Linked DNA regions of Tribolium castaneum. The protein of the gene in region 2 purifies or fractionates together with the protein of the main gene of each other region. This does not show direct contact. Links are inferred from orthologs where the notes say so. Each region holds a gene or a part of one and is shown on either strand. Other genes may lie near its edges. The genes, in order: RpS3, bys and l(1)G0004.

Evidence for each region.
Region 1: the proteins of bys (region 2) and RpS3 purify together in Homo sapiens (affinity purification with mass spectrometry; 4 studies listed by BioGRID and IntAct, counting the BioPlex papers as one, with this or other methods). This does not show direct contact. The link is inferred for Tribolium castaneum from reciprocal best matches to the Homo sapiens genes BYSL and RPS3.
Region 3: the proteins of bys (region 2) and l(1)G0004 fractionate together in Homo sapiens (co-fractionation; 4 studies listed by BioGRID and IntAct, with this or other methods). This does not show direct contact. The link is inferred for Tribolium castaneum from reciprocal best matches to the Homo sapiens genes BYSL and PNO1.

What each region holds. Positions count from the first base shown.
Region 1 is NC_087402.1:7,605,678-7,609,437, reverse strand, and holds RpS3 (ribosomal protein S3), read right to left. Parts: upstream 2,234-3,760; 5' UTR 2,192-2,233; exon of another isoform or gene 2,118-2,191; intron 1,542-2,117; exon of another isoform or gene 1,489-1,541; 5' UTR 1,439-1,488; coding exon 1,409-1,438; intron 1,221-1,408; coding exon 854-1,220; intron 799-853; coding exon 641-798; intron 588-640; coding exon 417-587; 3' UTR 374-416; downstream 1-373. Other genes in the region: cathepsin O, read left to right, coding at 2,350-2,529, 2,576-3,078, 3,128-3,434. UniProt on the Homo sapiens protein: Component of the small ribosomal subunit. The ribosome is a large ribonucleoprotein complex responsible for the synthesis of proteins in the cell. Has endonuclease activity and plays a role in repair of damaged DNA.
Region 2 is NC_087398.1:4,030,530-4,033,762, reverse strand, and holds bys (bystin), read right to left. Parts: upstream 2,091-3,233; 5' UTR 2,005-2,090; coding exon 1,870-2,004; intron 1,825-1,869; coding exon 1,353-1,824; intron 1,308-1,352; coding exon 649-1,307; 3' UTR 562-648; downstream 1-561. Other genes in the region: Tango11 (transport and Golgi organization protein 11), read left to right, coding at 1-9, 53-489; kto (mediator of RNA polymerase II transcription subunit 12), read left to right, coding at 2,595-3,144, 3,198-3,233. UniProt on the Homo sapiens protein: Required for processing of 20S pre-rRNA precursor and biogenesis of 40S ribosomal subunits. May be required for trophinin-dependent regulation of cell adhesion during implantation of human embryos.
Region 3 is NC_087396.1:22,616,859-22,619,232, forward strand, and holds l(1)G0004 (RNA-binding protein pno1), read right to left. Parts: upstream 1,536-2,374; 5' UTR 1,419-1,535; coding exon 1,035-1,418; intron 984-1,034; coding exon 639-983; 3' UTR 624-638; downstream 1-623. Other genes in the region: Vti1b (vesicle transport through interaction with t-SNAREs homolog 1B), read left to right, coding at 273-623; uncharacterized protein LOC107398176, read left to right, coding at 1,783-2,150, 2,198-2,374. UniProt on the Homo sapiens protein: Part of the small subunit (SSU) processome, first precursor of the small eukaryotic ribosomal subunit.

The DNA.
Region 1 (3,760 bases), on a different chromosome or scaffold from region 2:
GCGAAATTCCTTTAAAAACGGACAGAATCACGATGTCTTTTAAATGCTTACTTTAGCACATTTTTAAACCATATTTTGTTCAAAAAGAAACGGAAATTATCTACGCTGCTTTTGCCTTTTTCACTCAACAATTAGTTGCTTCGCCAAAATTTTTGTTTACGTGTCATTTTGTAAAATCTTACTTAGTTGGAAATTACGTAGCTCCAAAGTTTAGCTAATTTTCTGAAATGTCGATAAAACACGTCGCAGTTAATGACTCACTGCTTTAGAGGAATTTCTTTTTTTAGAAGGGAGAAAACATTCCCAATGGCAAAATTAGGAATAAGGTTGAAACAGGAAGGGCATTTTTCTTGGTATTAAAATAAAACGAAAGTTATCTTTCCAGAATTTTATTGAAAATTAATCTTATGATAACTTTAAGCTACTACTGGAATAGCTGGTGGTGCGTCAGGTTTGACTGCTTTGATTTCACTGCTGGGGTAGGCAGGCAAAATCTCCTCTTTAGGTTCCACAACAGAGACATTGTCAGGCAGAGGCTTTTTGGGGCCTGTTTTGCCGCTGGGGTCCCACGGCAACATAATCTTGACCTAATACAACAAAATAGCATCATACAAACACCAATAATTTTACAAAAACTTACTTTAATTCCCAGCACACCCTGTCTTAGCAAGACGTGGCGGGTGGCTGTGTCCACATAATCATTGCATGGGTCCCCAGAGTGGATCATGAGACCGTCAACAAACTTCATCGATTTGGCTCTCTGGCCACGCAGTTTTCCAGAAACTACAACTTCACACCCTGCAAAATAACCACTAAATTAATTCAAAATACGTTTTGAGCCAAATGTCCAAACCTTTAGCGCCACATTCCATGATGTACCTCAAAACACCATAGCAAGCCCTGCGCACGGCCAAACCTCCGATCAATTTGAATCTAAGAGACTCTGCTTGTGCAATGGCACACAGACCCCTGTTGGCCACCTTCTCGCCATACAAAACGACTGAGTTTTCGGGGAAATTGAAACGTTTCTGTACGACTGAAGTCAATTCACGAATACGACGGTTCTTCTCCCCCAAAACACGGTCAGTACGTGTGGCCATGATGATGATTTCCGTGCGAGTTGGGGTGACTCGGACCTCAACCCCGGAGTACCCATCTTCTGATAATTCACGAGTCAAGAACTCGTTCAATTCGGCTTTGAAAACGCCATCGCCAACAAACTACAAATAAGCGCAACATCAAGTCGGTGAACTGGGGACCACATGTGGGAAAATGTTGGGTTATGGTTTGGGGAACAAGTAAACATGAATGTTAGCCCAAACATGTGTGCTTATTTTACAAGATTTTGGGCTCTAATGAAGAGTTAAACATGTTTAAGTGGATGGAAAGGCCAATTTCTGGTATTTACCTTGCGTTTTTTCGAAATTGGAGTCGCCATTTTGACGTTCTAAATGGAAAAGGTTTGACGTGTGGCGAGCGGAAGTCGACCTAATTGGGAAGGGATGTGATAGAGGACGCTTACAAGGCGGCTTATTTGAATAATTTTTGGAGAGAAAACTTTCTTGCATATCGGGTAAATAACGTAATGAAAAGACTGTTCTTTTTTCAGTTTTTTTACCTTCAAAAAATTATTTTTTTTTTATCTGAGTAGCTCCAACCAAACCAACAACTTTTATGAACTTTTATGTGTTCAGAACTCTTTTTAATCATCTATCGTTTAAAAAAAGGTCATTGTCCTGCTACTGGTAGTTTCCAAAAATATTATTATTGCTAACAAATGCAAAAATAGCCAAAATCTATTTCGGTTTATAACTTGAAAAACTATTACGAATTTACGACGCCAATCAATTCTCCAGACAATTTTGCATACGAATAATTGAAAATATCTCAATTTTGTCGTATATTTTCGCCGTAATTGAGAAAATAAACGCAATGTAATTCTACACAAGTTGCGCCAAATGTAAAATATTATCTTGGGGAAAGATCTTGGACCGAATAATTTATGCAACTGTTGCGTAAAACAATGTAAGACCATAGGCAAAAATAAATTAAAAACAAAAATAAATAAATAAATTCTCTAGTTTTTTTGGTAATTTTGTTAATTTCTGTCATCTATTTTTTATGTTTGTGGTTTGACAACATACGTTGAGGTTATGTCGTGACATTTTATACAATGTGGATCAAAAAATACCTGCTTAAACCTCATTCACCCTCATTATAAATTTCTGTTCCACTCAGTCACTTAACTGGGCCAGGATTGTGTTTCAAGATAATCAAATTAATAAACATGGCGATAGCGACAAATAGTTCAATATTATCATTGTTACCAAAATATCTGTTTTGATAAGAATGGCTTCGTGGAGCACTTACTTGCAAGCGATTTTCTACATTGCTCTGTTATTTTTCGTTATCCCTATAAGAATAAAAGGCCCAGACCAAGCCGAATCACAATTTCAAGAGTACTTGAAAAGGTTCAACAAGACATACGATGACCCTTCTGTGTATCAAAACCGTCTTCATGCATTTAAGGTAAAACTTATAATTTGTGTCCTTGTTGTATAACGTCGCTTTTCAGCAATCACTACAAACAATCGAGACTTTGAATTCCAAAAAAAGGAATGGTTCAGCACTGTACGGTTTAACGAAATTCTCGGACTTGTTACCAGAGGAATTTTTCCAAACCTATTTACAATCAAACCTGAGTCAGAAGACGCATTCAAATGAGCCAAAACGACACCACCATAAACGAGCAACAGTGCCTAATAAAGTAGATTGGAGAGAAAAAAACGCAGTGACTAGAATTTACAACCAAGGCAGTTGTGGGGCCTGCTGGGCCTACTCTGTTATTGAAACTGTGGAGTCCATGAACGCCATCAAAACCAACAAGTCTGAGGAGCTCAGTGTGCAAGAAATTATCGATTGCGCTGGTAACAACAAAGGGTGCAATGGGGGCGATATTTGCACTTTACTGTCTTGGATCAAAGCCACAAATTTCACGATTCAAAGACACGCCGATTATGGGGGTAAATGTGGCCGGGGCTCGGCTGGTGTCCATGTTAGAGACTTCATGTGTGAAGGGTTCGTTTAGTTATTTTTTAAGTTTATTCTTTCTTATGGAAACTTTCAGATTAGTGGGGTCTGAAGATGTTATGTTGAGGCTTTTGGCGGATAATGGACCCCTGGCTGTTGCGATTAATGCGCAAACTTGGCAGAATTACATTGGAGGTGTTATTGAGTATCACTGTGATGGGGATCCGTCAAAGTTAAATCATGCTGTCCAGATTGTTGGGTATGATTTGACTGCAAGTATTCCGCATTATATTGTCAGGAATACGTGGGGTGTGGACTTTGGGGACGGGGGATTTTTGTACATAGCTGTGGATAAAAATATGTGTGGGATCGCAAACGAGGTCTCAGCATTAAGAGTACTGTGATTTATTTAGATAGTGATGTTTAAGTGTATCCATTTTATGTAGAAAATGTATAGGTTTTATACACCAAGTGAGAATAAATGTTTTTTTATTATTGTATTTTTTCTTCCATAGTCCTTGAAAATAAATACTGGTCGCCACCAATGAGCTTGTAATAATTAACTCCTTTTTTTGTGAAAAAAACTCACACATCTTCAGTTTGTTGTTGCGTCAGACATTTTTTTTATAAATAAGCTTCATGGTCCTTCCCTTTATAAAAGCAGGTACGTATTTCATAACGGATTCCAGTTCCAGTGGTTTAAAGTCGTCTAAATAATACAGAGCCATTT
Region 2 (3,233 bases):
AGCACATTGGTGAGTTGTTTAGGTTATTTGGTGCGTCTGACTAGGATTCTAGGGACAAGGGCGCCCCCACGCGAAATTGTCTTTGACAACTCGATCCTTCCCCCAGAACCGTACCCCGGGGATGTGCGGGTTGCGACCCCGCCCAGGACTTTGACTCTGGACAAGTACCCCTTTCCCACTCTTGAGGAGATGGAGGACCCGGAACTGAACCAGATTCCGGTGGTTAAACCAAAGAAAAAACAGGCGTTTGATGATTCGGATTTGAATCTGACGATACGCGAGACTACGCCCCCGATCGGGGGCAGCGGCGAGAGGCTGACGGCCGCCGAAGAGGTGCTGCACCTCAGGCGGCAAATGGCGAAGCTCAACAGACGTGTGATGGCCTTAGAATTAGAAAACTTGAGCCGGCTCCAAAAGGAGAAGTTTCTAGTTGGTTTTGGAGTCGCTTATTTGTTGTTGAAAGTCATTATTTGGATGAATAGAGATTAGGGAGCACTAGTTTATCCCTAAGTTAGGAACAAATCGTATTGACGTTAATTAGTTCTGGTTTAAGTAACATAATTTTCCTAATTTTTCCAAGTTTTTATTAATAGTCTTGTTGTAACCGATTTTTTTCAATATAATTATCACAATTATGTAACCATTAATTTAGTCAAAGTCCATTTTTGGTTCGGCGGTTTCAGCGTCTCGACATTTCGCATTTTGAATTTCTCTTCTGATCTCTGGTGTGATAGCGTGGTGGTTTTGCTTCTTTAATAATTCTAATAAACTGTCCCTTTGCTCGCTTGAAATATCAGCTTTGTATCTTTGTACAAATGTCAGGAAAGCCTGATGCCACAAAACGGGTAATTCCCTGGAATCTCGCTCGAATCTCAAAAAGTGGAACACAACTGCGTCCACAACACGATACGGCAACGCGTATCTTTTATCGAAGAAAATACGCAAAAAAATCGAATTGGCGCCGGTGTAATCCATTTCCGCGATTTTCAAAATCGCGGCAGAAGAATGCAAAATAGGAATAGAGTTTCTTGCGACAACTGAGCCTATTATAATAGCTTCCCTGAGCGTACAATCGCCACTTTCAAGCAGTGGTAGGAGAATTCCCTTCATGAAGCCCCCAGGTTTGAACAGGGCTTTCCTCAAGGCTTGATATAAGTGGAAATTGAGTCGCTTGTATTCGGCCAAGTCGTCGCGAATTCGGGGCAACAAAACCAAATTATAGAACCTCTGAGCCATTTTTTCCTTGAGGTTTGAGGCGAAAATACGGGTGGCTTGGTACATGGCAGCAGCTGACCAACTTGGCGGATCTAAAACTTAATTAACCGCTGGGCATCAACAATGATTTTAATTACCCGTGATGTATAAGATTTGTTCCCAATTCCGCAAGTTGGGGATGATTTTGAACGCTTTCGGCAACTTGCCGCTCCTATATTTCCGCAAAACATCCCTCACCCCTTGATACATTTGTTCCACCCGTGGGTCCAACTCCTGCATTTTGACCGAGCCTTCCTCGCTAAAATGCGTCTTAACTTCGGTAAACTTCTCGGCCAAAATATCCCCCAAAGTGCGTCTCGGGGCCGGATTGCTACTCATGAACTTCTCTAAAGCTTTCTCATCCTCTTCATTGATTTCAATGTTTTCGTAAAACGTGTCCGGTTCGAGGGTGTCTTCCTCTTCCGGTTCGGAGTCATCGTCCCCCAGTTTGGACACTTTAAACTTGCTTGAACTTGCCTCGGACGGCGTGGGGCCGAAACTTGAGTCCAGCTCGCGTTGCTGCTCTCGGGCGGCTGAGAGAATCTTCCGCGAGAGGTTCGAGTCCACAAACTGGAATTTTTTATTGGTTTTAGACAATCATAAAGCGATACAAACTTGTTCATCGTCGTCTTGTCTTAGACGGATTTTGTTGCGGTTTTTCGACTTGGCAAACTTCGCGTCCTCGATGTCCTGGTCCAGGGGCACCTTGGTGCCCATCTGAGACGGCTTCAGGCGCTTTGCTTTGCCCATTATCCCTATTTGTTTACCACACGTGTCTTCAAACTATCTGGACGTAACCTAAAAGGACTTGTCAGAGGTTTGGGTTGGCGACATTGGCAATTTAAAATTAAATTGGAAAACAGCAGCATTAAGTACGAGATTGGGTCAAATCGGGTAAAATATTTTGCAAAATTAATTTTCTAAAAATTCGCTTTTTAAACTATTGCGCTATTAGTTTAAAATTCGATAAAATTAAGCAATTAGCAGGGATTTTTTTATTATCCCTAGAGGTCAAGATGGAGGACACCATCTTCAAAACTTGTGTTGTTGGTGCATAAAAGTGTGTTTATTTCGTCAAAACGGTAATTTATCACTACATTTTTTCCTAATTAAGCTTACATAATGCTTGTTCAATACTTTGTCGTTTTTTTATTTGTCTAAATCGGTGTAAAAACTGAAATATTAGCTCCCATCCTCTCGTTTAGGTGTTGGCACTTTCCCCCGCAATGAAGCCCCCGGGGTCGAGATTTTAATTAAATTGTAGCGATGCGTTACATTGGAGCTGCCTAAAGGCCCCCTTGTCAGTGTTCAAAATAATAGCAATCCCAAATTGTGCCAAAATGTTCAATAGCAGCCTTTTGTACGAAAAACGACCTTTGAAAAAGCCGAAAATCGGCCCTCCGGACGTTTACCCGCAAGAACCGAAGCAAAAAGAAGACGAGTTGACGAGTGTCAACGTTAAACATGGGTTCCTGACAATGACCCACTTAAGCGACGAATTTGGAACGGCCAGAAACTGCAATATTTCGGCAAGCAAAGTCGGGGATTATTTCAATGACATTATCAAACGCAAAGAGGAGTTGAGCATGTTGCCCGATTCCGGCAGGAAGCGGCAACAAATCAACCCCAAAGACAACTTCTGGCCCGCCACAATACGAACAAAAAATGCCATAGAACTCTGGTTTAAGGATCTAGCTGGGAACAAACCATTGATGCACTTGTCGAAAAAAGCGCCCAATTTCAACAAGAAAGAGGAGATTTTTATAATGCTGTGCGAGTATCAGGTGCCTATGATGCGGGCCGCCTGGTTTATCAAGTTGAGTTCGGCTTACACAGTTGCCGTGTCCGAGGCCAAAATCAAAAAACGGCAAATGCCAGACCCGACTACAGGTCTCTATTTTATTACTTGTATTAACTTTACACTTAACTACAATTTCTTGTAGAATGGACCGGAACGATGCTAAAATTCCTCAAAGAAC
Region 3 (2,374 bases), on a different chromosome or scaffold from region 2:
ACCACATAATTTATGTACCAATTGGGCTGGAAATAGGTGCATTACCTCAAACTGGCAGTCTCCGTTCGAATTCGTAACCAATTATCACTTTAATCACAATTTTGGGAAACGATTTTGAAAACACCGCACTTATTTGTTATCACCGCCATTTTTAATGAACATAACCAAGAAATTTTTTTATCAATTATTTATTGTTAATTAATTATAATTAGCTATTAACAATTCGTGCAAAAACGCCCATGTGAAATAGTGTACTGTAAAGTTGGGTCAAAATGTTCAACGAGTCGAACTACGATTGGGGGGCCCACAACAGACAAGTGGTGCTCGAGGGGCGTGCAACGTTGGAACGAACGGGTGAAAGCCTAGCAAGATCGAACCAAATCGCCATCGAGACGGAACAAATCGGAAACGAAGTCGTCTCAGAATTAAATGAGCAGCGAGAAACCTTGTTGCGGACCAGGGGGCGGCTTGAAAACGCCAACGAACAGCTGGACACCGCAAAATCGGTGCTTAAGCAAATGGGGCGCAACGCCATTTACAACAAACTCATCCTCATCTTGATTATAATCATAGAAATCGCCATACTTGTCTCACTCACTTATTTGAAATTTTTCAAGAAATGATTTATTAAATAAATACTACATTCGTTCAGATACTCTAGACGCGATGTTTCGCAACTGCCCGTAAACCTTCGACGGTGGTGATCCTAGAATTAAGTTACAAATCGCCCTCCTGGCGAGTTGAATGTTTTGGAAACTGCCCAAAATGTGGATCTTGCTGTCCGCCAGGACTATCCTAGTTTTGGTGACGTTCTCGATTGTGAATTTCGTGCGCCCGCCTTTACCCGCAAGCCGGCCAATGGCCCGCGACTGGTGGTCCCCCTTGAGTGTCTTCACGTCCTTAATCTCGAAAGTCTCAATGAACAAGTCGTCCAAACGCAGCAGAGCCAAGGCATCATCCACGTCAAAACCGTACACAAAAGCCTGAAACCCAACTTAAGCCACAACCCAAAAACCACACTCGTGTTTATTTACTTTAACAAAATCAGCGGCTTTCTGCAAATTGCCAATATCCTCAGTCTCGTCACACGTCTTCACCTCGACGTTCCGCGTCTTTAGATTAAACCTCACTTGTAGTTTCAAATGCTCCACAATTGGGGTGAAAATTTTAAGCCAGTTTTCCTTCAAAGGGGTGTACCTGTGCGCAGGGACTGGTACTTTCCTCATGTTGTCCTTGGTCTCGGAGTACGACTTTGTCCTGGACCTTTTATGTCTGGGTCTGTTGCGGACCTTGCCTTCGATCCCGTTGTGAGCGACCACTTCCATGGGGGCCTCCCCTAGCGAGTCATTTCGCCGCTTGGTGGCCCTCTTCGGCTCGAAATTGTCAGTTTCGATGTTAACATCGGCTTGCGTGGCCATTTTGTAACACTAGTCGCGGATTTGGGGCAAAATTGGCTATTTTAAAACCATAACCCTTTAAGGTTAGGTGCACGTGTTGACGAAACGTCAGAAAGAGCGCAGGAGTGCGTTCATAAACTAAAGTATCTTGTGTTGTTGTGACGTCAGAGTAAGGCAATTTTCACCTAGAGTGAATGCAGAGCTTTCTGAAGTTTATGAACGGTTGAAGTAGACTGCAACATGACAGTTGACACTCTTGTAATTGTTTGACATAAAAATATAACCTGTCGTTTAAAGTAGGTAAGTGACAAATAATATCAGCTCTTTGGTCCGTTTATGGCATAGGTACATTTAAGCCCACCAATTCAACAAACGAACCGTAACAATGAATGACATAATTACTATCCCTGTTGTATTATCATCGGAAATGTTATTTGGCATTCCGGTTACATATTCTTCTGATGAGGACAGCGATGTAACTGATGAAGAAAATATTGTTACGATGATGCTTATAAAAAGTAGGAAAATTAAGAAACCTCAACGTATTGAGAATTATATTGAAGCAACAATTTCTGGTTATACCAAGCAAGAATTTCAGCAACATTTTCGAGTAACCATTGAGGCTTATGAACAACTCTTACAAACAGTTGGCCCCTATTTAATGCGACAAGCTGCTACTGGACGAAGTACTGTTCAAGTCGAAAAACAATTGTTGTCAGTTATATGGATACTCGTAACACCCGATTCATACAGGTTAGCTAAAATATTATAACTCCACGTTATAATATTGTTGATTTTAGATCAGTTGGAGAAAGATTTGGACTAGCAAAGTCATCTCTTTCACAGTGTTTCAAACGAGTAGTAAAAATTCTAAATGCCGTAGCACCAACTATTATAAAATGGCCAGAAGGGATGCAATTACAAAATGTTGAGAGAAGATTTCATGCATTTGCCAGAATGCCACACTGCATTGGGGC